Linked DNA regions of Mus musculus: regions 2, 3, 4 and 5 are each reported to be linked to region 1. Evidence: microRNA targets listed by miRTarBase, many of them from high-throughput screens and not tested one by one. Region 1 holds a microRNA gene; each other region holds the end of a gene's coding sequence.

Region 1 (5,131 bases):
CCTCCTTCTCAACGAGGGCTGTTCTCAACCCTGACCTGCCAAGTGGCCTACCGTGTGACCTTCTGCGACATGCTCCGCGTTTCTAGTTGTAAAATGAAAGGTGTTGACATCTTTGAGATCTCAACCAATTTAGGCTTCCAACTGTACTTTCAGCCGGCGCTTTCAGGACCCACAAGCCTTTTCTTATAGAAAGAGACTAGTTAGTGCAAGTTGGAGCAGTGTAACCCAAACTTGGGCAGTCAGGCCAGAGAACGCTCAACAAATGGGACAGGATGGGTGGGGGGGAGCAAAGGCTGAGGACCCTCCAAGCTCCCCAAGGAAGCCATAGGCTAGCTAGGGAGGTTGATAAGGAACACAATTTTAAGCCTGTGTCTCGGGCTCCAAGGGTCCTGGGTGGGATTTGAACATCTCTCTGTTAGGATAAAATGGATGGGCTGGCACCCCTGAAAACCTTTTGTGGTGGGTGTGAGATAAACTCTGTGAATCAGAATCAGCAGACCCATTCCATCACCACCACCACCACCTCCTCCCTTGAGGCCCTCATCTTTTCCCTAAAGTGCAAGGTTTGTATCAGCAGATTTCCCCCTTCATAGAAAGCAGTAAAAGTCCTGCACTGTCTCAGGCTAGGACTCTACCTCCATGGGACTCCTAATGGGGGGACTCCAGCCTGCCTGGACGGCAAAAGAACCAAAGGCGACACACATTTGAACTACACCTAAGACACAGTCGTGAAGCTATGTGACCACCTTGGTGTAGGAAGGACTGGCTCTTACAAAAATAGCAAAGGAGAGGGGCCAGGGAAGAGAAGGCTCTGAGTACCGGGGCAGGCTCTGGGGAAGCCCCAGCCCATCCGTGAGACGTGGAGGCAGGGAGTGCTGGGCAAGCAGGCTGAGAGAGCTGCTCTGCTTTCCTCAGAAATGAGGTCACCACCAGCACACAGGCTCCCAGGTGCACCAGGAAGGGGGAGCAAGCCCAGTAGATGCAGTTGGGGGGAGGGAGGCTCCTGGGTCCTCAAACACGCGAGTGACCCTTCACAGGCCTAAGAAACGGGAAGGAAAAGATGAAAGGACCTCGAACCCCTTCCTTCCACCCAATGAGTCCCTGAGAAGGAGGCACAGAGACAGCTGCTTTCCTGCCACCGCGTTTAATTTTGTCTAACATTCCAAGGCAATGCAGTGAAAAACTCTCCATCTACCGTATGGAAGCCACACCTTGCCCCTCCCCAGACCCAGGAGGTTCTCCTTTGTATCACTGAATTTATTTTTACTTTTACACAAGTCACCTTTTTGTTGTTAAGATAATTTTGCTAAGCAAAGGGTGTGGGGGGGGGGGAGGAACGGCTGGTAGGCACAAAGATGGAAAAAGATTTCTATTATCACAAGGGGGCTGGGCAGGTTCTGGATAGAGGCTGAGAGACCAATCTTATAAATAACTAAGGCAAGAGGCTCTTGGGATTGAACTGGGCCAAGATGGAGGTAAGGTGACCTAGGTAGTGCCCACCTCTGCACTTCTGCGCTGTGTGTGCTACTCCCTAAGGAGTAGGCCCTCACCCCCCAGATCTGCTTCCTTAATATGTTCAAGGAAAAGAAAGCGGGTCAAGTCAGGATGGTAGCACTAATCCTTCCCAGTCAATCTGCTAAAGCATGTATACACTGATATGTGCCTTAAAGAACCCCAAAAGACCCCAAGCCTTAAGGTATGTGAACTGACTTTGGATCCTTTCTTCCCTACACTTGATAGGGTCCATAGCTGGGTCTACATCCACCACGCGGGAGCCCTAATGGTTTCCTAAGTTGCAGGGGGCCCCAAACTTCAAGATAAGGAAAGAGTAAAGGGAGTGGCAGGAAGGAGAGGGACCTGAAGGCAGAGAAACCTCAAAGGGACCTTCCGCTCCTTGTGGGGCTAAGAACCACGGACACAGAACATTGGCACGCCCCACTCGCAGCGCCCAGCTAAGAGGGACCTGGAGCTTGAGTGGCCGGTGTGCAGCATTGGGTTGCCATGGGAACGGAATTCAGATTTTTTCCCCCAATTGCTTTTTTATTTGCTAGACATTGTAATACATCTTATGTTGCCATTTATTGGGGCGGGAAGGAGAGGAGCTCCAGAGAGCCTGGCTTCCCCCTTAACCAGTTGGGGAAGTTGGGGAGGCTCCGGCCCCAGCCGTCCGACCAGAACTATAGAGGTTTAGAGGATCTGGGCTACGTCTCTCCCGCCCAGCAGCCTGCTCTTGGTTTGTATGCAGGGCAGGGCCGGTCGGTCGGGGCGGGAGGCCCCCCGCCTAGGCCCCTTGCCATTGAGTACACTCCCCGCCAGTTCTGCTCCGCTTCACGCTGCACACAGACCCCCCAACTGCACACAAAGGCAGCTGCCAGAGCCGGTGAAAAGTGATCAAATTATCAAGAACTTGACCTCACCGAGGGGCGAAGCTCCAGCAACCCCCCAGCCGTATGCTAATGGTGCTCAGGGGCTGACTCGTCGAATAATTCGATAAAGGCTGCATTGTTAGCGGCAGGGCAGCCCCCTGCCCACCCTTTTACTCCCCCTACACACTGCCTACCGGTCTCTCTCTCTCTCTCCTCTCTCTCTCTCTCTCTCTCTCTCTCTCTCTCTCTCTCTCTCTCTCTCTCTCTCCCCCTTCCTCTCTCTCTCCCTTCCTCTCTCCCTTCCTCTCTCCGTTCTCTTTCTCATCGCATTTGCATCCCAAAATCCTAGTCTGCAGCTCAGGGCGTGGATTGTTCTAGCCTGATTTATGGGGTGAAGGCAAAGGCTGGCGCCTTCCCCGCCAGCGACCCCTCTGCAACCCCAGCCCGTTCCCTGCCCCCAACCCACTCCACTTCGGGGTTCCAGCCTCGGCGCTGGGAAATGGTGATGGGGGTGCAGGGACCGAGGAGGAGGTGAAGGGAATGCCTCCAGGACACGGCAAGTGTCCCCAGGAGAGCCGAGGTCGGATACCTGGTCCCGGCGTGGCCGCTCCGTCGAGCTGGAATCCCTGGGTGGCGTGGGCTTCTCTGGGCTCCTCTGGCTCCTGTGGCCAGGGCGGCCGGCCGGGCCATCGCACGCAGAAGTTGTGAGAGTCATTTCTACTTTCGGTTATCTAGCTTTATGACGGCTCTGTGGCACTCATACAGCTAGATAACCAAAGAGAGAAACGGGCCTCCCATTCGCCGGCACCGCTGCCGCGCTGTGGGCCCCACGTGCCGCCGCCGACCCGGCGCGGGGGCCTGAGCGGACTCCGCTCCCGCAGCCCCGGGCGCACGCGGAGAGCCAGAGGGGACCGACAGACACACAGACACACGGACTCCCGCCACCCGGATCGCCCAGCTCCCTTCCTCCCTCGCCCTCGCGATTTCTCCATCCCCAGTTCCCCGTCCAGTGCGTGCGCGGCCCGCTTCGACGCCGTCCCGGGGCGCACTCGGGTAACCGGCGCTCTGCGCTTGGGCAGCCTCGGGCGCCCTGGCGGCCCCCAGCGCACTGGACCATCAGCCCTCCTCTCGCAGGCTAATCGCCCCGCGGGGAAGTGACGTCAGTCGGGGGATCGGCCTATCACGGGCTTCCATTCAAATCCCAGCCCCCTTCCCGCGCTCGGCACCACCCAGCCTTACAATGGCCTCGGCGTTCACGGCTTCTGCGCCGCGAGGACAGGGGAGCGCCTCTTCTGCCCTCAGAAGCCTTAGGCCTGCTTGCTTGGATGCACACAGTCTGGCCTTTCTCTCAAACCTCTCTGACCTCCCAGCAACGTCTTAGGTGCCTGGCAGCCACCGCAGACCACCAGAGTTAGAGTTTGAGGGAAGAGGTTTAAGGTCGAGGTCTCTCCAAGGCAACCAAGTGAGCGCAGGAGAGGCTGCGAACCGGTCACTTTATCCTTAAGGTCTCTCTTCCTTTTTTTTCTTGCCCAGCACTGTACAGACACCGCGGTAGAGACTGGGGATTAAGGGAAGGAGTGGGTGTCTAGATCAATGTATCCCATATATATTGCCTGACTTGTAGGGATTCCCATGGCATGCTTCGCTCAAACCAGGTCCTAAATGTCGGCACCAGATTGTTAGCCCTTTCCCTCTGACCATTCCTAGTACAGCCAAGGATATGTAATCAATTGTGCCCCTGCGCCTTAAAGATATCCAAGGCCGTAATTGGGCTCCTATTCACCTCCCATAAAAATAATCAGCTCCTGCCATCTTTCTGCTCACAGCACACCCTAGCCCACTTACTCCAAGTGACTTTACAGGGCAAAAGAATTGACATTTTGAGGTTTCACAGTAGAATTGAGCCTGGCCACCAAACTGAAGTCCCGTCTCAGTCTCCTAAACGTGGTGGTTTAGAGGTTGCTCACCTGAAACCCATCCTGTCTTCCTTGCTCCTGTACACCCCTCCCACTATGAGCCCTGATTCACCCCCTTCACCCATTCCTGGGAGGCAAAGGATTAAATATGAAAAATTCGATATCTCCTTCCCCCCCCCCCAGTCATCCCTAGAAAGATCTTAAATCCAAGATCTAGAGATTGACTTAACAATAGAGTGGGGGTGGGGGGTAGCGGGTTCCAGGATTCCAGCAGTGACTATGAGGGAGTCCCAAAGACTCTCTGTGCTAAGGCATCCCCAAAGCAGCCCAGATTTGGTGGGGGTACTCATTCAGATCTGTTTTGGTGAGGCGGGGGGGGGGGCACCCCTTACACACTCTCCATCAGCAAATCCCATAAGGCTGGGTTCAAAGAATAGGCCCAAAGTGGGTGATTTGGAAGGGATCAGGGAATTTTTCTAAAGGTATCTAAAGCAGTCTCCCTTAAATGACACATCTGGATTTTTTTTGTTTAATACCAGGCTTTGGCACCACACCTCTGTACCCCGTGCTTGTTTTAGATTCGTCCTATTTTTTATCTTGACCCCAAATCCAAGGTGGGCTGCATCCCCACTGCCATCCCTGTCAGCCAGTGAGCAAGCCAGCTAGCAGTTACACACCTCTTTCCAAATGCCACCTCACAGACAAATCCTTGTCTCAGAAAAAGGACACAGGCTAGACTGAAAAGCATCAGAGAAACAGAGGGGCCGACCTACCGACAGCAAGGCCCAGGAAGGAACCTCGAATTTGGGCCTGCCTGGTTAATTCTAAAGGATTTTTCATAATTAGGAG
Region 2 (5,000 bases), not on the chromosome of region 1:
ACTCAAGAAGAACGAAAACCAAAGTGTGGACACTTTGCCCCTTCTTAGAATTGGGTACAAAACACCCATGGAAGGAGTTACAGAGACAAAGTTTGGAGCTGAGATGAAAGAATGGATCATCTAGAGACTGCCATACTCGGGGATCCATCCCATAATCAGCCTCCAAACTCTGACACCATTGCATACACTAGCAAGATTTTGTTGAAAGGACCCAGATATAGCTCTCTTGTGAGACTATGCTGGGACCTAGCATACACAGAAGTGGATGCTCACAGTCAGCTATTGGATGGATCACAGGGCCCCCAATGGAGGAGCTAGAGAAAGTACCCAAGGAGCTAAAGGGGTCTGCAACCCTATAGGTGGAACAACAATATGAACTAACCAGTACCCCGGAGCTCTTGACTCTAGCTGCATATGTATCAAAAGATGGCCTAGTCGGCCATCACTGGAAAGAGAGGCCTATTGGACTTGCAAACTTTATATGCCCCAGTACGGGGGAATGCCAGGGCCAAAAAGTGGGAGTGGGTGGGTAGGGGAGTTGGGGGGAGGGTATGGGGGACTTTTGGGATAGCATTGGAAATGTAAATGAGGAAAATACCTAATAAAATATTTTTTAAAAAAGGAACTATGAAATCTGATAGCATTGCTTTTGTATTTAGCTTTAGCCTCTGAAAAATAAAGTAAATAAATTAATTATTTAAAAATAAGTAAATAAATAAATACAGTAAAAGAAGAAAAAAAAAAGATGTTGGTGAAGCTGAATCCTATCCAGAGAATCTTAATTAAGGGCCACACTGACTACCAATTACTTTATTTATAAGCTCCCACTTAAGAATCACTGTTAAAGTATAGCTTTATATAGTTTAGTTAGAAATAGCTGGAGTATTCTTCCCTTGGGAGTTCTTTCTCTCAATTTCCCTAACAAAACTAATGAAAGGAAAGGAAAGGAAAGGAAAGGAAAGGAAAGGAAAGGAAAGGAAAGGAAAGGAAAGGAAAGGAAAGGAAAGGAAAGGAAAGGAAAGAAAAGAAAAGAAAAGAAAAGAAAAGAAAAGAAAAGAAAAGAAAAGAAAAGAAAAGAAAAGAAAAGAAAGAAGGAAGGAAGGAAGGAAGGAAGGAAGGAAGGAAGGAAGGAAGGAAGGAAGAAAGCAAGCAAGCAAAAGATAGGAAAAAAAAAAAAAGAAAAAGAAAAGCTGAGGTGGGCAGTACAGTCTTACTCAAGCAGTGGCCTTGAGAAATCAGTTATGGGGTTTGTGCTACCAAACCTTATTCCCCTTCTGAGACAAAGGCTATGTAGTCCTGGCTGTCCTAGTAGTCAACTCTGTAGACTAGGCTGGCCTCCAACTCGGAGATCGATCTGCCTCTGCCTCCCCCGTGCTGGAACTAACGGTGTGCACCACCATTTGCCTCCTTGTTTTGTTTTTACAGAACTTTGTGTGATGACAGAGAAGTTCTACTGTACCATTAAATGTAATAATCACTAATCATACATGGCTAATTACCACTTAAAGCACACCTAGTGAGCCTGGCTACTGCACTCAACAGAGCAGAATTAGATCATTCATTCTGGCCACAATTCATTCTAAGTGGGAAGAAAGTCACAGATCTAAATCTAAGAAGGCAAAAAGAACCCACAAAAGTTGCTCCCAACTGAACTGTCTTCTCTTCAGATAAAAGTCAGGTATTAAAAACAGTCCATTTTATTCGGTTTTTAAAACTAGTTACACAGTTGAATTGACTATTCATTAGGTACTATTCTGTACGGGGATTATGCCTGGGTATGGCGACACTTCAGTACTGTAACAAGCCCACTACTGTATGTGTATATTGAGACACTCGGCATAGAGATACTAAAAAATGACTGTAGTATTCCTTTAAGGAAGATTGTAAAGAGTGTGTTAAAAGATGACATTTATCAACTTGTGAATTATTCCAACTAGAAGATAACTTGCACTCTATAAAGTTGTGATAGGCAAACATGTTATCATTTAAAAATGCACACAAAAAAGGTACATAAAAATCCAGATATTCTAGTAAATAAATTTAAAAAAACCTAAAACCTATGTTTCAGCTTTTGTAACACGAGAAGATAAAGAATATAACTTAAAAACATACACCAAAAAAACAAGTCACACAATGGTCTGCGTTAAGGGTTGCATCTGTACAAAATCTTGTCAGTGTTATCTCTACAGTTTATTGTACAATCTTTTACATCTACATAACATACTAAACAAGTCAAATATCAAGACTTATTAATATTAGTGATTCTGTAGGCAGGCATACAGGTAGAGGGGAGAGAGGGGGAGAGGGAAAGAGAGTGAAAAAGGGGGGGGAGAGGGAGACAGAAAGGGAGAAGAAGAGGGAGAGAGATCAAAAACTGCAATCTTCCACTCATTTGAAGTGTAATGTATTTCAAGGTGGGGTGTAAAACAATATTTGTATGGACTACAGGGTAAAAAACAATCAGCCATGGTGTTTATTGATGTTCTTTTTTATTTTTAAAATCACACATTGTATACACATACAAATCAGTCTAAAATTTATTCACCAAACCCCCAGTTTTTCAGCAATTGGCTCTTACTCAGCACCAAAAACTCCAGTCTGTGGAGATACAGACATCTGCAGTGTGGTTGAGCGTGTCAGGTTCTAGGTTAACTCTGAGACTTTGCCCCCTTTGATCCTTTTCTCTTCATGGCTCTCTAGACACAAGGCGGTCAAAACTTCAGATTCATGACCCATGGCCCTACTAATGCTAAACTCAACAGCCTTTGGGGAAGAACTCAAAATAACGTGAGATGAATGAAATGAGAGAACCTACATAATTGATGAGCATTCTCCATTCCGAGGACATTGTTGTTTTTAACAACGTTCGAGACTGTTTGGTCATAATACCATGATAGTACTAGGCTACTTCTAGTCTGAGACTTTGTGACTTTGTCATATGTCTCAAAAGAAAAAGTGATCAGTACTCAGGGAACACTTCAGAACAAGTTAGGAAATCAAATGGCAGCTGAGAACCTGTGAGCGAAGACTAATGAGGCCAAACAGAGAAGCCACCAAAATGATGAAAGCTCAAGAGAAGCTGAGTTGTGAAACTTGCAGAGTCACCACGGATGATACCTGAGGATCTGGAGTTTTTGATGAAATGAGCCCAGAATGAGGACTAGTCATCTGCATTAAGAAAAATAAAACAAAAAATTATGTCAGATTATCAAAACACTCAGTTCTAAAATCCCACCAAACAGATTGTGTTTATTCTCCTTACCTTTGTCTATACAAAGACTTTCTGGCCCTCTGTTTTTACAGAAATGTAATAAGCACTTAGGAATTTAGATGAGTTGTGCATGGTAGGGAATGCCTTTAATACTAGCATTTGAGAAAGGGGAGGGGTGGAGGCAGAAAGAGCTCTGAGGCCACCTGTTCAACATAGTGATTTCTAGGCTACCCAGGGCTACATAGAGATAAAAACTCTATCTGAAAATTAACAAAACAAAAACCAAATAAACAAATGAACAAAAGAATCCAGATGATGAGACAGAGAGATGGCTTAGCAGTTAAGAGCATATGTATCTGTTCCCAGCAGCCACAGGGAGGCTTACAACTATCTATAACTCAGTTCCCTCTTCTGGCCGCCAAAGGCACGGACGGCATGCTCATGTGAATATACACAAATACAAGTCGAAGATTCATACACATTTAAAAACATCCAGATGAAGTGTTCTCATGATTGTAGAAACCAGAGTTCCTAGTACAACCCCAACTTCTTTTCTTTCACCTGACTATCCCAGGCTACTGATGCAAGTTACTTATTTTCTAACTGTCCCAATACAGTCACATAAATTGCCTCCCTAACAATGGAAACAAAAATCAAGAAAAATTCTATAATAGTTATTTCCACTGACCACAGACAAAGCTGTATTTACAATCAACCCAACAAAATCCTCTGAGGGTACAGGCACAGGCTACCATGTTTGTTTACCTCAGCACTGGAAATCGAATTAGGGTCTCATCTTTGCTAAATTTGGGCTCTTCCTCTAAACTATCTACCCCCTACCTCAAAAGTCATGTTTAAAAGCATTCAAGTGTGGTGACACATAGCTGCAATCCTAGTGTTCATGAGACTATGGTAGGGGAATCTCAAATGCACGGCTAGCCTGGTCTACATAGCTGTCCCTGTCTCCAAAAGTCAAAACAAAGAACTCTCTTCACTTTATCTAAGCAGTTACATCTAAAATGTTAGCAAACCTTAAAATCTTGTAGGTATTTCCTTGGCTACTGGTAGGACGACACATGCTGGGAAAGACCCATGTAACTCACCCCTCTATGCATAATAGCATGGTGACACAAGGAGGTCAGTGAGGACAAGCAGCTGGTCATCAGTGAACTGCTGCTTGTGTTCTTGCCAGTTGTCATGATGTGTCCTTCGGAAATTGGATAAGGTCTTCTTTACAGTCATCTGTAATTGACCCATATACATTTTAACCTCTAACAACCAGAGTTACATGTGGGTTATCTTCAGTTACACTAGTATCCACCTAGACCTCAGCTCTCACAATGTTAGAAAACCAAGTCAATTTTCTGTCACTAAACCACGAATATTATATATATATTTATATTCTATAAAATTACTAGTTTAATTTCAGGACAAACAACTGTAATATATTGTCACATTGCTAGACCAGTTCAATATATATATATATGTATATATATATATATACATACATCTACGAAGGTGACCTGTTTTGCGTAAGAGCTTGGGTGCTTACTAATAAATAATACAACTACTATTTCTACTTTAATATTAGCTTTCAGTGAGATGAGACTTTCCAGACACAAAATGCCATAATAATAGTAGTAGCAAGAAACCTAACTTTCTAGCTAATGCTGTAAGTACTCTTTATGCTGGGTTTGAAAGAATAGAAGATACAGAATTTTATTTTGTTGTACATGAGAGAAATGTCTCTGGTTTTAATAATTATAGAGTAAACTTGACCATATCAGAG
Region 3 (5,131 bases), not on the chromosome of region 1:
TGTAACTTCCCTTGTGCTGAGTCTTCAGAGTAGCCAGGGTGCACAGATGTGTATCCAGAGTTAAAAGGAGACTGAAGATGCCATTGAGTAGTTTCCTTCTTTCTTTGTTCAGGAGAGCGGCCTTATTGTTGTGACCAGTGTGGGAAGCAGTTCACCCAGGTAAATGCCCTCCAGCGCCACCATCGCATCCACACTGGGGAGAAGCCATACATGTGCAATGCATGTGGACGGACTTTTACTGACAAGTCTACTCTCCGGAGGCATACCTCAGTAAGTGATGAGTAGCCTGCTTGAAAACAAAGCCCTTCTGGTCAGTCCAAAGGGTCAGAGGTGGTAGCAGGTTCTCTCTTTGGGTGTCCTGAAGTGACATCTAGCCAATAAGGTGAAGGACCCCTATGGCCAAGCCTATGGTAAACACTTGCAAGCAGTAGCTGCTGAACAGGGCAGATACTTGGTAATTAGTGCACAGATTTAAAAGCCAGGGAGATCTTTTGTTTATTTTTTAATATTAACCTTTTGATCGATAAACAGTCCAGCTCTGTTTTCCAGGCTGTTCTTGGACTTATGACCTTCCATCTCTGCCTTCCATGTGCTAGGGTTATGGGGTTTTTTTGAGTGGTTGTGTGCCAGTGTCTGGCCCTAAAGAGAGCCTATTGTTTTAAAATTTGCATGCATTAGTAAATATCTGTAAACTGGGAAACGTAGCTACACGTGCAGTGACTCTTATTTTGTTTTATTTGTAGATACATGATAAGAATACGCCGTGGAAGTCTTTCCTTGTCATTGTAGATGGCTCACCCAAGAATGATGAAGGGCATAAGACAGAACAACCCGATGATGAATATGCATCACCCAAACTTTCAGATCGATTACTATCTTTTGGTGAAAATAGCCATTTCAACAACTTACTGGAAGTCCAAGGCAATGTGCCTGCCGTGCAGGAGAACAGCTCTACAGGCGCTGCTTGCAAAGCAGTGGTGTCTCAGGACGCTCTGCTTACCACTTCCATCAGTGCCCTTGGTGAGCTCACCCCACAGGCAGTTTCCATGCCTGCACACCTTCCCTCCTTGACCAATATGGAGTGAGAACTTGAAGTTGTGTGCCAAGCAGTCTGTGTAATTGCTGTATTCCAGGTGATGCCAGGGGCTGAGGAAAAGTTGTCTGTGCAAAAATGTAGGCAAGACTGGCCTTGCAGGTTTCTTCAGACTTCCATGACCTTGCACGTCTCTTTCACACTTGAACATTCTGTTAACATTCTGATCTGCATGATCTCAGCTACATTTCATCAGCAAACACGGCAGTTAGCATAGCTCATTTAACCCTGGTGTAGCCGTACATGTCAATCACACTAATGCTTGATTCTCTTGACGTCTAAACCACTGCTTGTCTTAATCATAGAGTACACAGCATTGACCCAGCTTGGGAAAGTGCTGTTCGTGGTCTCCTGGTCTCGCCCTGCCTTATGCTTCCATGTGTGTTTACTTCACTCTGGTCCCTTTAGGGCGTTTTTCTACAGGGTTAAAGTAGAACTGGGGCCACTTATTTTTAGCTGATTCTTCCTGAGATAAAAGCAAATAAGATTTATTCTGGGAACCCTAGAATGGGGTTGAAGAAGTAGATGATTCCGTTCGTTTCTCTCCAACCCCCTTTTGTAGGCACGAAAAGATGAATGGCGGGTGGAACATGTTCAGGGTAGTACCTTAGCATGTGTACAGGTAAGGAGTCTGTCATAACATCCAATTTGGGATGAGCTGTTGAATTTTGTTCCCTAAATCAGATTAAGTCAAAGCTGTCCTACCAAAGAATCCAGCAGACAGTTGTCTCTCTACAGAAGTGTGAGAAATAAAGCCTAGGTGTCAGAGCATTTAGCTAGGTACATTTTCACAAACAGCATGATGAGTGAGCCTGGCAAATCTTGACTATTTTGCCAGGCTTTTTTATAATGTCCAGAGCTCCCCAAACCCCCATTTTCACAGGGGAAGATGACACAAACTAGTAACTGCTACAAATTCACCTCTAGAAGAATGCAAGACTCTAGAGCAGTGGCTCTCAATGACCCTTTCAGAGGTTGCCCTAAGCTATCAGACAATCCAGGATATTTAATTATGATTCTTAACAGTAGCAAAATTAGTTATGAAGTAGCAATGGAAATAACTGTATGGCTGGGAGTCACCACAACATGAGGAACTGTATAAAAGGGTCCCAGCATTAGGAAGGCTGAGAACCCTTGAACTAGAGGGGACCAGAAGCCTTGGTATGCTCAACTTCTATGCCTTAACAAGCGGATCATAAGGAACCAGGGATGTTGTTTCAAATGTTCCTTTGGCTTTCTCATGCTGAATTTAGTAATTGTTCAACAAATTTCCTATGAAAAATGCATTTTATGGTACTTGCTATCCCTGATACATGGTTGCAGGGCCATGGATGGGTATGTGGACCCTGTGCCACCTGTGACCCTTAAGCATTAATTTTAAGAGGGCCTTAAAGGGGGAATTCTTATGCTTTCTGGTTGCCTTTCCTCTCTGCTTTTACTAAACTTGCTGTGAAAACACTCTGGTTTCTAAGGGAATGACTCCTAATGTTCAGGGTGAAGATAGATCACACAATGATAGAAACTGAGAGTTCTCACTCAGTGATCACTTTGTGGTACTACCCTCAGGAGCTGGCGAGGCCACCAAAAGGGGTTCCAGGTGCTGGTAATGTTTCCCACTTGCTCTTGAAAGTTCAGGGCTGAATTATTTCACATTCGGTTATGACCTGGCAATCTAGTTGTGTTTACAGACAAAAACAGACAAAAAGACTAGTGATTGGCATATGACCATTTTATCTGGTAAGAGAAAACCTGCCCAGCTGATGTACTGTGTTATGGAATAAAGTCATCTTGATGAGAAGGAATTTAAACAATAGATTATTTTGTTACCTATTGGAAGAACTGTCTTGAATTTGTTTCTTTAGAAGTTCTAAATAAAATTGTTTAATGTGCTAATAATGTCTGCTTTGTAAAAGTCCTTCTAAATTTATTTACATTATAACTTAAGGTAGGATCTAAAGAAATAGACTCTTTTAGTCTAATTTGTTTAATAGCATGAACATTAAAACTTCAAGTCAGGGTCTTCTATTTATAGTCACCACAGATGACTGACTTACATTCCTGAAATCAACAGTGGCACACACAGGAGAATGGCCTCTGCTCAGCAGTGGTCAGTTTTGATCTGGGCCGCGTATAGCATAAGGGCTCGCAGCAGGCATCAGTGAACACTTGGCTATATCCATCTTATCTCTTCCCAATAGGGGAGGTGAGCTTTAGGGACATAGGCCCTAGAGTTACACCACTTTGTGGTGCCTCACGTACTTCTAATCTAAATAGTTTTATGCTGTGAGAAAGCAAGACCTGCCTTTAGTGAATTTGTCCCAAATGTGCTCTGACAGCATATTACTCTCAGAGCATCCATAAGGGTTACTGAAGAGGCGACCTGGTGCCATTACAACCATTCTATGTCACAACATAGTTCAAACACGGGAGAGCTCTATAGCCTTTGGTTTTATCAAGGCTTTCTGTAGCAGTTTTAAAAAACGGGCCAGGAATTTGAACCGTTAGATTTTTGCTGTTGGGGATTATCTAATCAGAAGTGTAGATTATAATTTAACTTTCTAAAGATTTTATGTGCATGGGACTTTCCACTGCATGTTTCTATGTCTGTGTACAGCATGCATGCTTGGTGCCTAAGGAGGGATTAATTCCCCTGGAACTGGAGTTACAGCTGTGAGCCACCATGCACTGCTAGAAGTCAACCAGGGTCCTCCAGAAGAGGAGCCAGTCCTCTTGGTCACCAAGCTTTGCCTCCAGTCACAACTTTTAACTTGTTAAATGTTACACCACTCTAACTTCTAAACCGCTGCCAGCAGAACCGTCAGGTGAGTCTGGCACAAAGCCCCTAGCAAAAGTAGTGCTGTAAGCTTCAGGGGGAGAAACTAGTTCTGACCTGAGTCAATTTCACTAGCCAAAAAAACAGTCAAAAGGTTACCGATAACTTCCACTTTATTTACTGTACAGGTTCACATAAAACAAACGTTCTTTTAGCTAAGATAGATTTATTGTTACACGATTTGTTTTTGTAATGGACTCCCTTGCCTGAGAGCAACTTAGGACTTTACAGTGCCTGCTTACTGGTCACAGCTCACACTGTAGCAGGCAGGTCACGGGCATGCTGTGCTGCTGCCAGATTCTCCACAGTTACAGAGGTTTGAATTTGGACATTTTAAGTGCACAATACCAGAGGGAACAATAAATGCACAAGGGCTGGTGCATATACTTTGGTTATAGTGACACCATCACACATGGTTACAACTGTGCAAAAATACTGTTTTATGTCATTAAAAAAAAAAAAAGGAATTCACACAAGCTATAAAAATGTTGCCACAAAAGGAAAACTTTTCTGTAAGAAATATTAACTGCCATAACTATGAATTATCTCCAGATGCACTCAAATATGAGAACTATAACAATCGTTGCGTTTTGGTCACAATATTCTAGAGACCATGAAAGCCTAAAGCCTGGACATCTTGAGAGAATGCATTGCTCTGTGTCTGCGGGACATTTGAAGGGAGTAAGCTTGCATACTCCTGTCCGGACATGGTCCTCATTCTTTTATCTTCTGCCAAAAGTGTGTTCTTTGTATTTTTTTTTTTTTTAGATGGTCTGACTTAGCTTAGTCTGGAATCACGTTCCTCTTGCCTCAGCCTCCCAAGTGCTGAGACAAAATAAACTCAACAGGGACTCACCTCAGCCTTTCAGTCCTTTTTTTTTTTTGGTTGGTTGGTTGGTTGGTTTTTTGAGATAGATGGAGTCTCACATTAACTTAGGCTGGCCTGGAATTCACTAGGGAGTCCAGGCTGGCCTCAACCTCACAGCAATCCTCCTCCCTTCACCTTGTAGATACTGCGGGATTACAAGTGTTCATGATGCCTGGCCCAGCATTTAACTTCAGGAAAAGCAAATAAGTGAGTAAGTTTCTTTACAAGCAGCAAAGTAATCCAAACACTACTTTAACAACCCAACACTTCTTCATGGAGGTGTGTTAGGGAGCCATGATGAAAGGTAAACCACAGTGCCCCGTAAGACACCATGTGG
Region 4 (5,131 bases), not on the chromosome of region 1:
AGCTGCAGAGATGGCTCAGTGGTTGAGAGCACTTACTGCTCTTGCCAACACATCTTCTGACATGCATGGGCAACAGGTACACTAGTGCACATACATACATAAAACGAGAGATACCAAACTTCAGGAGAGAGAGATCAATGAACACATGCTGTTTGCTTAATACAGAAGTTCAGCCAACTCGCTTTGTTCACCCTTAGCCAGTTCTGGCCTTACACCTCCAGCGTCTGAATGATGACCATATTCAGAGTTGGCCTTTCTACCTCAATCAGGCCAATATGACTTAGGTCACTCTTCAAGTGGGGCTCCCTTAGGTGATTTCATCTGGCAAGATGATAACTTTAAAAGCCATCTTCCTGTATGACTACTTAAATTGGTATTTGTATGTGTGTTAGGCAGGGTAGTACTACAGAGTTAGTGTGGAGGGGTAGAGAACAACTTAGAGAAGTCAGTTCTCTCCTGTTGGTTCCAGGGATCAGACTCTCGTCTGCTTTGGGAGCAAGCACCCCTACCCACTGATGTATCCCATGGGCCCCCTGAAATTTTTTTTAAGAAATAGGCTTGAGTGTTTTGCCTCATGTGTGCTGTTTGTGTCTAGTATTTAGAAAGACCAAAAGGATGTTGGCTCCCTGGGACTGGAGTGAGTTATGAGCTGCCACCTGAGTGCTAGGAATAGAACCTGGGTTCTCTGTAAGAACCACTGAATCTTCTCTTCAGCTCCCCCTGAATGTCTGTTCACAACAATCTTTGGAATACCTGTTTATAGCTAATCTGATCATTACTATTATGAGGTCATACCTGCAGCAATAATTATTAAGCCAGTGTTAACTTGGTTTTCTCTTTTCTCAACTGATTGTGCTAGACTGTCTCTGAAATACCCAGAACCTACAGAGTTGCTATGGGCCAAGAGATTTCTTGACATAACTCTAAAAATAAAGGAAATCAGAATGTGGAGTGAAAAGTCTATTTCCAGGTCTCTGATGTATTCCTAGACTCACAGTAACTAAGCTCTTGGGGAGCTGCCTGACATTTCCTACACCAGTCTGCGTTCTGCTAGAAGGGCTTGAGGACGCCAGTTCTTGTCAGCATTTTCTTAAAGATTGATTTATTATTTATTATATGTAAGTACACTGTAGCTGTCTTCAGACACACCAGAAGAGGGCATCGGATCTCATTACAGATGGTTGTGAGCCACCATGTGGTTGCTGGGATTTGAACTCTGGACCTTCGGAAGAGCAGTCGGGTGCTCTTACCCACTGAGCCATCTCACCAGCCCCCTTGTTGGCCCTTTTAATTGTTCATTATTTGCATTACTATCTGCATGGATATAAAATAGTCATAGCTATAGTTAAGCAAACATGCTACATCCTCTGTAGAATGACTAGCTCCAGAACACATACATGCTTTTTTTCTTCCCAGCTGAAACTGAACCCCATGAGGGAAAGAGGAAAGTGGAATCTCTGTGGCCCATCTTCAGGATCCATCACCAGAAAACCCGCTATATCTTCGACCTCTTTTACAAGAGGAAAGCCATAAGCAGAGGTAAATGGCTAAATTTCTTGACCTTTAAAAAAACTGTTACTGTGTGTCCATACTTATGGAGGCAAGCATGTGTTTTGACTTCCGTGTGAAGGTTGTAGGACAACCTGCAGTTTTGGTTCTCTTTGCCATGTGGGTCTGGGGGATCCAATTCAGGTCATTAGACCTATCTAGAAAGCATTCTTGGTCCCTGGGCCATCTTGCCTCTTGGCTCTTTTGTACTTGAGTGGCTTTCAGGATTTATACAGTAGTTTATAAAAAGCTGGGTCTGGTGGCACATGCCTTTAATCTTAGCACTCAGGAGGCAGAGGCAGGCTGATCTCTATGTGTCCTACTTCCAGGACAGTCAGGACTACACAGGAACCCTTGTCTTAAAAAACTAGAAGACGAGGAAGAGGAGGATGAGAGAAAAGAAAGGGAACAAAAGCCAAGTGTCATGGTTCAGACCTATACTTACACACTTGGGAAGCAGAGGCAGAGGACTAGGGAGTTCCAGCTAACCCTTGACTGTAATGTGTTGTGGTAAATCTCCAACCCAAATAAGCCCATGCAAGGAAAACACAACTCAATACGAATACAAGCTTCGTGCCTAGACTGGGCAGATCTACTCCTACACTGCTACAGCTATGAGATCCCTCTTAACTTGTGATTTCTCTTGGCCACGTGCTGCTGCTCCATTTTCCTTCTACCTCGTCCTCCACTTCAGTGTTCCTCTCTCCTTCCTCTCCTCTTTCTCCCCCTCACTTTTTTTTCCCTCTCCCCCCAAAATTTTTTAGCTCCACTTCCCCTCCACTGCCCAATCACCGGCTCTAGTCTTTATTTTACAAGTTAAAATGGGGAGAAGGCTCACATGAAGTCACCCGAGTAATGATTCACTCCACGTCCCAGGCAGCCCTCTTGGGGAAACAGAATTAGCATCAAAATACAAATAGCACTAGGGAAATCCACAGCAGTAGTGGGAGATCGTGGCTCCAGAAATGGAAATTAAAGCAATGATTATCTTTGCAAACCCATCAGTCATCAGTTTTCTTACCATGAAAGCTGAAGTCATTTGTGTGTGTTGGTGTTGTTATTTTTGAAATAAGGCTACACTCTGTAGCCCGGGCTGACATGGAATTTATTATATACAGACTGACCTCACACTCACAATGCCCTACCTGCCTCTGCTCATTTCTGGGATTATTGGCTTTTGTTGCTGTTTTTAAGTTTTGTTTTTTGAGACAGGGTTTATGTAGTCATAGTTGTTCTAGAACTCAATTTATAGATCAGCCTGACCTCGAACTAGAGATTGTTCTGCCTCTGTCTCCCAAGTGCTGGGATCAAAGGCTCATGCCGTCATACTCAGCCTAACTTTTCCTTTCAGTCCAAGGTGAAGGCAGGTTTGTTACGCCATGTTCTGATGTCTGTCCCCAACTTTCTGACAGAACTCTATGAATACTGCATTAAAGAAGGCTATGCAGACAAAAACCTGATTGCAAAGTGGAAGAAGCAGGGCTATGAGAACCTATGCTGCCTACGCTGCATTCAGACTCGGGACACCAACTTTGGCACCAACTGCATTTGCCGGGTTCCCAAAAGCAAGCTGGAAGTGGTAATGCCCAGCGGTTGGATGGGGGTTACTTTCTGTTTAAAACTTTGTCTTAGTTGACCATGAGGGTATTTTGAGAAGTAGTTTCATCACTAGAACCCTTCTAGCCACCCTTCTCAAAAGTGAGTCCTGACCAGGGATCCTTTTAAGGTGGTATCTGGGGCTGGTCTCAGTACTGTCAGTGGGCGAGTAACTGCAGCAGACCTCACTCCTTAGGGAGTAGTGATGGCAGTGGCTCTCAAGTGACAGGAGGGCTATGCTTTGAGGCTGGCTGTCAGGTGACCTATCTATCCCTCGAGTCTCACAGGCACATTCATCTCTGCATGCCTTCTGCTTTGTTCCATAGCCAGGACTTGGGAGGTGGAGGCCAGCCTGGGCTAGTACTGAGGTCCTGCTTCAGAAGAAAAAGTGCTTTCAAGGGCAGGCCAGGCACCCACAAGCAGTAGCTGGGCTCCAGTCTCCACATCATTGAAATGGAGAGCCAGACGGAGGTCAGAACAGACAGTCCATCCTTTGACTTTGTGTCCTCTCAGTACACTGAAGCAAGTCTTAATTCCCAGAGTTTTCATTGAGTGCAGATGGCCTCAGCTCAGCAGGTAGCTCTGTCCTCGGTATCAAGGGTGGAGCTCTGTATGATGTGCTGAGCCATGGCTCGTGGGCAATAGCTGCTTCCCAAGAAGCTCTTGGTGTCCCAGCCTGTGGTTGAGGTTTAACTGAGATTCAGGGCTGGAATGTTGCCTGAGGTGGTAGATGGCCCCCTAGAATGCGTGAAGCCCTAGAAGCCCTAGGTTCCATCTCCAGTGCCCCATAGAGCCAGATGTGCAAGTGTACATCTGTCATTCTAGCATTCAGCAGCTGTTGGCAGGACCAGAAAATTAGGGTCATCCTATATATGAGACGCACTCAGTTAAAACTAACAGAACGTTACCAGAGAACTTTATTTGTTTAGAATGGGCTCGTGGCCTCCAGAAAAGGAGGTAAAGACAGCATTGCTCCAGGACCCCCATCCCCACCCAGTGGCCTCAGGAACTCTGGCTTTCGCCCTCTTGGCAGTGACAAGTGTGTCTTGTTACAGCAATCACACACAGACACTAACTTCCGCCTGGTAGTAACTGTTCCACGTCACAAAGGAGCTGAGACGCCCAAGTAGAAGTGTCCAGTAGAGATGCTCTGCAAGGGAGTGTGCAGGGCTGTAGCAGTGTGTTCAAATGTTCTTCTTCTGTTTCAGGGTCGCATCATCGAGTGCACACACTGTGGCTGCCGGGGTTGCTCTGGCTGACACCCTTGACTCCTCTGCATCCTGGTCTTTGGACCTTGGACTTAAGACTTATTGGGCCACTGCCTGAAGCAACTCTTCTCAGAGTGGTGCTCAGAGAAAAGACCCAGGGGGGGAAGCATGAGCTGTACAGGTGACGACTTTAGTGTTCACCAGCTGAGATCTGTAAAAATAAAACCTTTAGACCTCCTCGCTACATTCTTTCTTTTAAGAGTGCCAGGGGATGGGCTTAGTCCTGGCTCTGTGTTGTAGATGCTGTGTGACCATGATCGTTGTCAGGATGCTTTGGCCTGGTGTGGGACCTGCTATGATCTGGGCACCCTGAGCCCAGCATTTGCCTGTAAAGTGCTGTGGTGCCTCTGGAATATTCTTGGCCTCTGAAGTTGAAAGGACTCCCAGGCTCCCCCAGCAGTGTGAAGGCTGGGCACTTGTCATAGCCGCGTGCTCCGTCATCCGTCCCTAAGGCCGCCAGCCTTGTCAGTGGTGTCTTGGTCCCCAACAGGCTTGTTCTGGAACTCCTGCCAGGGGTGGGGGGCTTCCTCTGCTGGCATGGCTTTCAACCACTGCTTGTAATAAGCCCGAAAGCCATCAATCTTCTCCAAGTAGGTGTTTTTTCCTTTGTACTATAATTAGAGATGCACAGGACTGTCAGTGTGAGTGAGATACAGGCACAGAAGCCTCACTGTGAAACCCATAGCTTTGTACAATGAACACAGGATATGCTAAGAAAG
Region 5 (5,131 bases), not on the chromosome of region 1:
CAGATTCTGGCCACTCAGCCTGAGTCACAGAGTGCCAAGGCCACATTAGCCTGGAGGAATTTACAAATTGTTCCTACTCTTAAGAGCACACTCCTGGGTTTCTCTCCCACAGAACCCTGACTCTCAGTACCACTGGACTCTGGGTTTTCTAGCATGCTTCTAAGGCATGCTGACTGAAGGACCACACTTGAGTAGCAATGGCCCAACACTTCCTTGCCTTAAGAGGACCTGGCAGATTTCTTCCTGAAGACCAGAGAGCAAGTATTTCAACAGTCTGCAGGTCAGTCAATCACTATTGCACACCACACAATTCTGCCACTATAGCGTGAAAACAGTCATGAATGGTGCGTATAGACAGATATGGCTGTCTCCTGACAAATCCACACAAAACCAGGAGGTAGTCTTGGCTACAACTGGCTGATCCTCCCTCTAGGACACGCGCTTAGAATGGTTTGAGCTTCCAGGTCTTCTGGAGCATATATTTACAATCACAAAAACAGGTGATCAGGAGAAACGGGTGTTAATCTCTACTCATGTTTTCCTCATGTATGATGAGGTTATGATGAAATCACATCACTGAACCCTTTTTAAAAAAATCACCTTGTAGCAGGCCAGTGAGCACTCCATCATCAGCTGTACCAGGTCAGTTAGTGCTATGTCATCAGCTATGGTGATGCTATTGTATTTAAAAAAACTTCTCAACTATGGTGATGCTATTGTATTTAAAAAACTTCTCAACTTTAAGTCAGTGTCTCTTTGTGTGTCTGTGTGTGGGGTGTGCACGTGTATGCAGGTGCCAGTAGAGGCCAGAAGAGGGCATCAGATCCCCTGGAGCGTGAGGCAACAGTTCTGAGTGGCTCTCTGTAAGAGTAACTGTCACTCCTAACCAACCACTGATTGACCTTTGCAGGGGTCACTTGTGTTTACACTGAATTTGGCTGTATTCACTTCCCGCGTGCCTACATAGAAAGGTAAGAAAAGGGAACGCTCAGAAGAGTCATTAGGTGACTTCCCCAGTGTCCACAAAATACACATAAAACAGCTTCCGTAAGGCCAGCAAGAAGAAACGAACAGACGGCCTGGAACTTCTTGTGTATATGTAGTTTAAGAAACATTCTAGAAACAAGCACATAAACCAACAAGTTATATTATCTTTATTCATGTTAGAATTTCTATCAGTGTTTGAACATTAATATTTAGAGAGTTTTGTACATTTTCATCTGAGAACCGCACTAGGTCACCATGTTCACACCGATACTTTCCAATCACATGGATCACTGCTCACGTGTACTCTCCTAACACTGTTAAAACATACTCTCTTCTCTCCCTTGCTGTCATTTATAACGAAACGTGTCCTCACACCCATGTCTCAGCAAAGTTCCAGACATTATGGATTTCATCACATATAAATTCTTTAAAAATATACTTCTGTCGAAAGACTTGATGACTACTATGTACACTACAAAAATAAATTTTCATATAAATAAATTATATGGCATACTTTCATCTTTGTAATTGAAGTGACACAAACTCATTTCCACCCAAATTGGCAGACGAGACCCAGTTTGAATATTTATTTCCTTTAAACTCCTTACACTAAAACCTACCATGAGTCCTTAATGTAAATGTTATATACTCTGAACTATTTAACATTAGTAAGCACTCTATACAAATAAAACTTCTGTTCAAAAGTAAAACATAACTGCAATAAGTGTTTCCAATAGAAATAAAATCCCTGCAATTTTTTCTTCTTGTTATAAACTGGCATGACAAATTCTGGAGGACATTCTTATGATACAAAATTATAAATATCAGCAAAGATCTTTTCTTTTACAAATTAAAACATCCAAATGAACAAACAATACAGACAAAATAAAACTATGAGAGAGACAGACAGAGACACACACTCTCTGACTTTAGTCTCCTGCCAGCTCTGTGTCCTTCCTGCCTTGGCTGATGGGACTCATGATGATGCACAGAAGCCGAGAGGCTGTACAAACTTCCTTCTGCCACATGCACAAGGCTCAGGCATGAGGGACACAATCAAGAACCACAGCCAAGGTGGCTTCCGCACTCTACATCTCCCTCCTCAACTCAGGGTGCAAGATATCCGAGCAGAGCTGGTGTTGGGTAGGCAGACAGTGGCTTGACAGGCATTAAGACAGTAGCAGTGGATGGCCAGGGCTTCTGGCGCGCACGCGCACACGGATATACAGACAGACACAGACACACACACACACGGTAGTCACAGGTGGCTTCCAATTAGTACCTTACAATTTGGGGGATAAATTTTAGGATCTGAGGGCACTAGATTATTGGTACTACTAGGGACCCATCTCCTTAAATTTTTCCATGAAGGATAGGAGGGATTCAGGGAAGCTGCATGCAGACAGAGTACATTCCTCACAACAGCTTCCATGAGCACTAGGCTTCCTTCCTCTGAGACAAGTCCTCAATGTTCACTTGCAAGGAATAAGGGCATTTCCTTCCCTATCTACTAGTTGCTGACCAGAGACAAAGAAACCCAAACCTTGGGGAAGGAGAACACAATCAAACTCTAAAGCCCAACACCTGGTTCAAAGAGCTTACCCTATATGCTTTTACGAGGTGGCATCTTCCTGCTTTCACAGACATCACACTGGATGGATGCTAACAGTGGGGAAGAGAAGAAAGTATACACAGGAAAAGACCGTGTGGAAAAGAGTCCTTAGAAACTCTCCCCACACAGTTGACTGAACCACGATTAGCCTAGCCTGCTCCAACCAGGCAGTCATAGCAAGGGAGGGACTATCATTTGTAAAGGCTCGAATATAGACCTTCAGTGAAATAGGTTTTTTTGGGCCTGTATCTGGAGTATGGGGGTGGGAGGCTGTGTGTATGTGTGATCATCAGAAAGGAACAACCACACACCCCTAGAGGGTAATCTCATGACCCGGCTGAGTCTCACCATCAGGCAACATTGTCCAATCTTTCACCACTAGTGCTGACTGCTGACTATATAGAGGCCCTAATAGGCAGCACAATGTTTGTGAGAACATCTTCTCTTTGAAACCCAAGCAGAGGTGCTTGGAGGGCTACCCATGACCTCAGAAGCTGCCACACACAGGCATGAAGCAAATCTGGCTTCTCTTGAATAGTCCCAGAGAATAGGACAGATGATTGGGGTCACCTTTCCACCAGCATCACGACAGAAAAAGACCTGGACCTTCCCAGCCCACCTAGGCCAGAGCTAAGATCATACAAAGCAACAAAAAACACAAAAATGAACAACAACAGCAACAACAACAACAAACCACAATACAGTACATTGGAAAGTCACATGCACACACACATCCACCCATGCGAACCATATACAACTACCCCTAGAGAAGCCACTGGGATTAACCTGTTTTCTTCATGTCTGCTCGTTAAACAATTACCACGCATAGCGTGTTCAAAAGTTAACAGTAACAATTCATCCTACCACAGGGTTGTGATATGCAAATTTAAAATATTTTAAACAGAAACCTTTACAAATAATCCTATTACATAAGCAATATTTGCATAGAATTATACAAGTAAATTATACAATATTTAAGCAGCAGCGACATATGCTGGGAGATTTTTTTTAAAACTAAGTTAAGCTTGGTTGTGGCACAGAGACCAATGTACACAGGGGAAAGGGCCCCTGTGGTCTCCCCACTCTGGGGCAGGAGTGGAGAGGCCCCAGGAAATAGACTGTACAGCATTTCCATGTATATTACATGTGTACACCTTTTAAATATTTATAGAAATATTTCACAAAATAATACAATCAGTTACAGTAACAATGAACTGCCTTCCCATAATTCCAAGCAGTTCTCTTCAAGCAGTTCTGGAAAGAGGTGGGGGCGGGGCTTTCCAATCTTTGGCCTCTTTGCTTCAGATTTTAATTACCCTTTAAAAGAGAACAAAAAAGGAGGTCACATTATGGTCACTACCACACTGAACTGTGAGCCTTACACAGCACAGCTCTTTACTCCCAGTGGGCAGCTGAGAGCCCTGAAACTCTGACTGGGGTGCTAAACTCATTTCATCATTTTTTTCCCCACCCTGTAAAGTCATCTGCATGGTTGTTAGAACTCTGCTGTAAGTGCCCAGCAAACAGGTACAAGGTTAAACTATTAAACTGGCATTCTAAGGGATTAATAGCAGGGTGGGGGGGGGGGGAGATCCAGTTTAGAACGGTATTGTTACTCTAAGGATGAGTTTGGCCTCGTCAGCTTTGCCTTGGGAATAAAAGGTCCCCCAGGGTCTAGTTTGGGCCACCGCTCAGATGGCCCTTGGAAGCACCACGGGGATACCTCTGGCACACACCTCAGTTGGAGCTGCTCCCCCACGGCCTCTCCTCACATTCCACGTCCTGTAGCTCTATGACCTCCACCTTTGAGTCCCTCCTCTCACACCTGACATGAAAAGGCACATGAGGATCCTCAAATACCCCGTGATCAGTCTCAGGGTAGCTCTCATAGCCTGGACAGGGCCCCCCTCGGGGGTTGCGCCCAGGTCCAGGCGGGGGATGCACAGCAACAGTCACCGAAGCAGAAGCCGTCACAGTGGTGATGGGCTGGCAGTAGCTGGGCACAGAGCTGCCCATGGCGGTGGACGTTGGGTTCCGAGGGTTGTGAGAACGGGCCCCACGGGGCCCTGAGCGGTCCCTATTGCTAGGGCCAGAATGCCCTTCAGTAGAAATTTCAAAAGCGTCTCTGCGCGGTCTGTAGGGGGGTGGCCGCAAGCCTTCTCTAGGGGGATCCCTTCGAGGCTGCTGGCCTTGCCGTCCAGGGGACAAGGAGCCAGAGTCCAGGTGGGGCTGTTGCCGAGGGGTCAAGGGAGGCTGATGTCTGGAGTCCGGATGGACCACCTGCAGAGGAGAGACATAGGTCAACACAGGGAGGTAGGATGGTGGTGATGTTCCACCCACAAAAGAAAACCTATTCCTTTAGAAACCTCCAGGATGTGAATCCTGCCTGCACCTGCACAGCTGGCTGGAGGCATATAGCCACTGCCCATAGATCTCAACTTACCCTCACAACCAACTGCCCCCAGGCCTAAGTTCTCTGCCTCAAAACTGCCAAGGCCTGGATAGCCAAGAGCCTGGGTGTCTTGGAAATAT

Evidence for each region. Region 1 holds the annotated microRNA mmu-miR-9-5p (UCUUUGGUUAUCUAGCUGUAUGA, at 3,124-3,146, opposite strand). A microRNA usually pairs through its seed, bases 2 to 8, with sites in the 3' UTR of a target mRNA and lowers its output. Matches are read on the target gene's strand: a 7mer-m8 pairs with bases 2 to 8, a 7mer-A1 pairs with bases 2 to 7 and ends in A, and an 8mer does both.
Region 2: the mRNA of Psme4 is a reported target of mmu-miR-9-5p. The part of its 3' UTR that is shown has no 7-base or 8-base seed match.
Region 3: the mRNA of Gzf1 is a reported target of mmu-miR-9-5p. Seed matches in the 3' UTR shown: 8mer at 1,797-1,804.
Region 4: the mRNA of Ptcd1 is a reported target of mmu-miR-9-5p. Seed matches in the 3' UTR shown: 7mer-A1 at 4,429-4,435.
Region 5: miRTarBase lists Ptch1 as a target of mmu-miR-9-5p. Seed matches in the 3' UTR shown: 7mer-A1 at 3,884-3,890.

The regions. Positions count from the first base shown.
Region 1 is chr7:79,503,294-79,508,424 of GRCm38, reverse strand. Mir9-3 (microRNA 9-3) reads right to left here and starts at 3,161; the gene lies at 3,072-3,161. All of the region lies in intron 1 of Mir9-3hg (Mir9-3 host gene), which reads right to left. Gm51285 (predicted gene, 51285) reads left to right here and starts at 3,089; the gene lies at 3,089-3,146.
Region 2 is chr11:30,877,832-30,882,831 of GRCm38, reverse strand. It overlaps Psme4 (proteasome (prosome, macropain) activator subunit 4), which reads right to left. Exons shown (of 47, transcript NM_134013.3): 46 at 4,315-4,453; 47 at 2,471-3,168. The coding sequence ends at 4,319. It also overlaps a transcript of Erlec1 not described here. Among named protein-coding and RNA genes, the nearest start is that of Gpr75, 5.0 kb to the left of the region's middle.
Region 3 is chr2:148,689,964-148,695,094 of GRCm38, forward strand. Gzf1 (GDNF-inducible zinc finger protein 1) reads left to right here. Exons shown (of 6, transcript NM_028986.3): 5 at 113-270; 6 at 744-2,986. The coding sequence ends at 1,085. Napb (N-ethylmaleimide sensitive fusion protein attachment protein beta) reads right to left here. Exons shown (of 11, transcript NM_019632.3): 11 at 4,694-5,131. It also overlaps the pseudogene LOC108168731. Among named protein-coding and RNA genes, the nearest start is that of Gzf1, 11 kb to the left of the region's middle.
Region 4 is chr5:145,143,483-145,148,613 of GRCm38, forward strand. It overlaps Ptcd1 (pentatricopeptide repeat domain 1), which reads right to left. Exons shown (of 9, transcript NM_133735.2): 9 at 3,896-5,023. The coding sequence ends at 4,850. Bud31 (BUD31 homolog) reads left to right here. Exons shown (of 6, transcript NM_001310771.1): 4 at 1,417-1,539; 5 at 2,961-3,127; 6 at 4,353-4,596. The coding sequence ends at 4,403. Among named protein-coding and RNA genes, the nearest start is that of Bud31, 5.7 kb to the left of the region's middle.
Region 5 is chr13:63,507,197-63,512,327 of GRCm38, forward strand. Ptch1 (patched 1) reads right to left here. Exons shown (of 24, transcript NM_008957.3): 23 at 4,336-4,879; 24 at 1,132-3,916. The coding sequence ends at 4,337. Among named protein-coding and RNA genes, the nearest start is that of Ptch1, 56 kb to the right of the region's middle.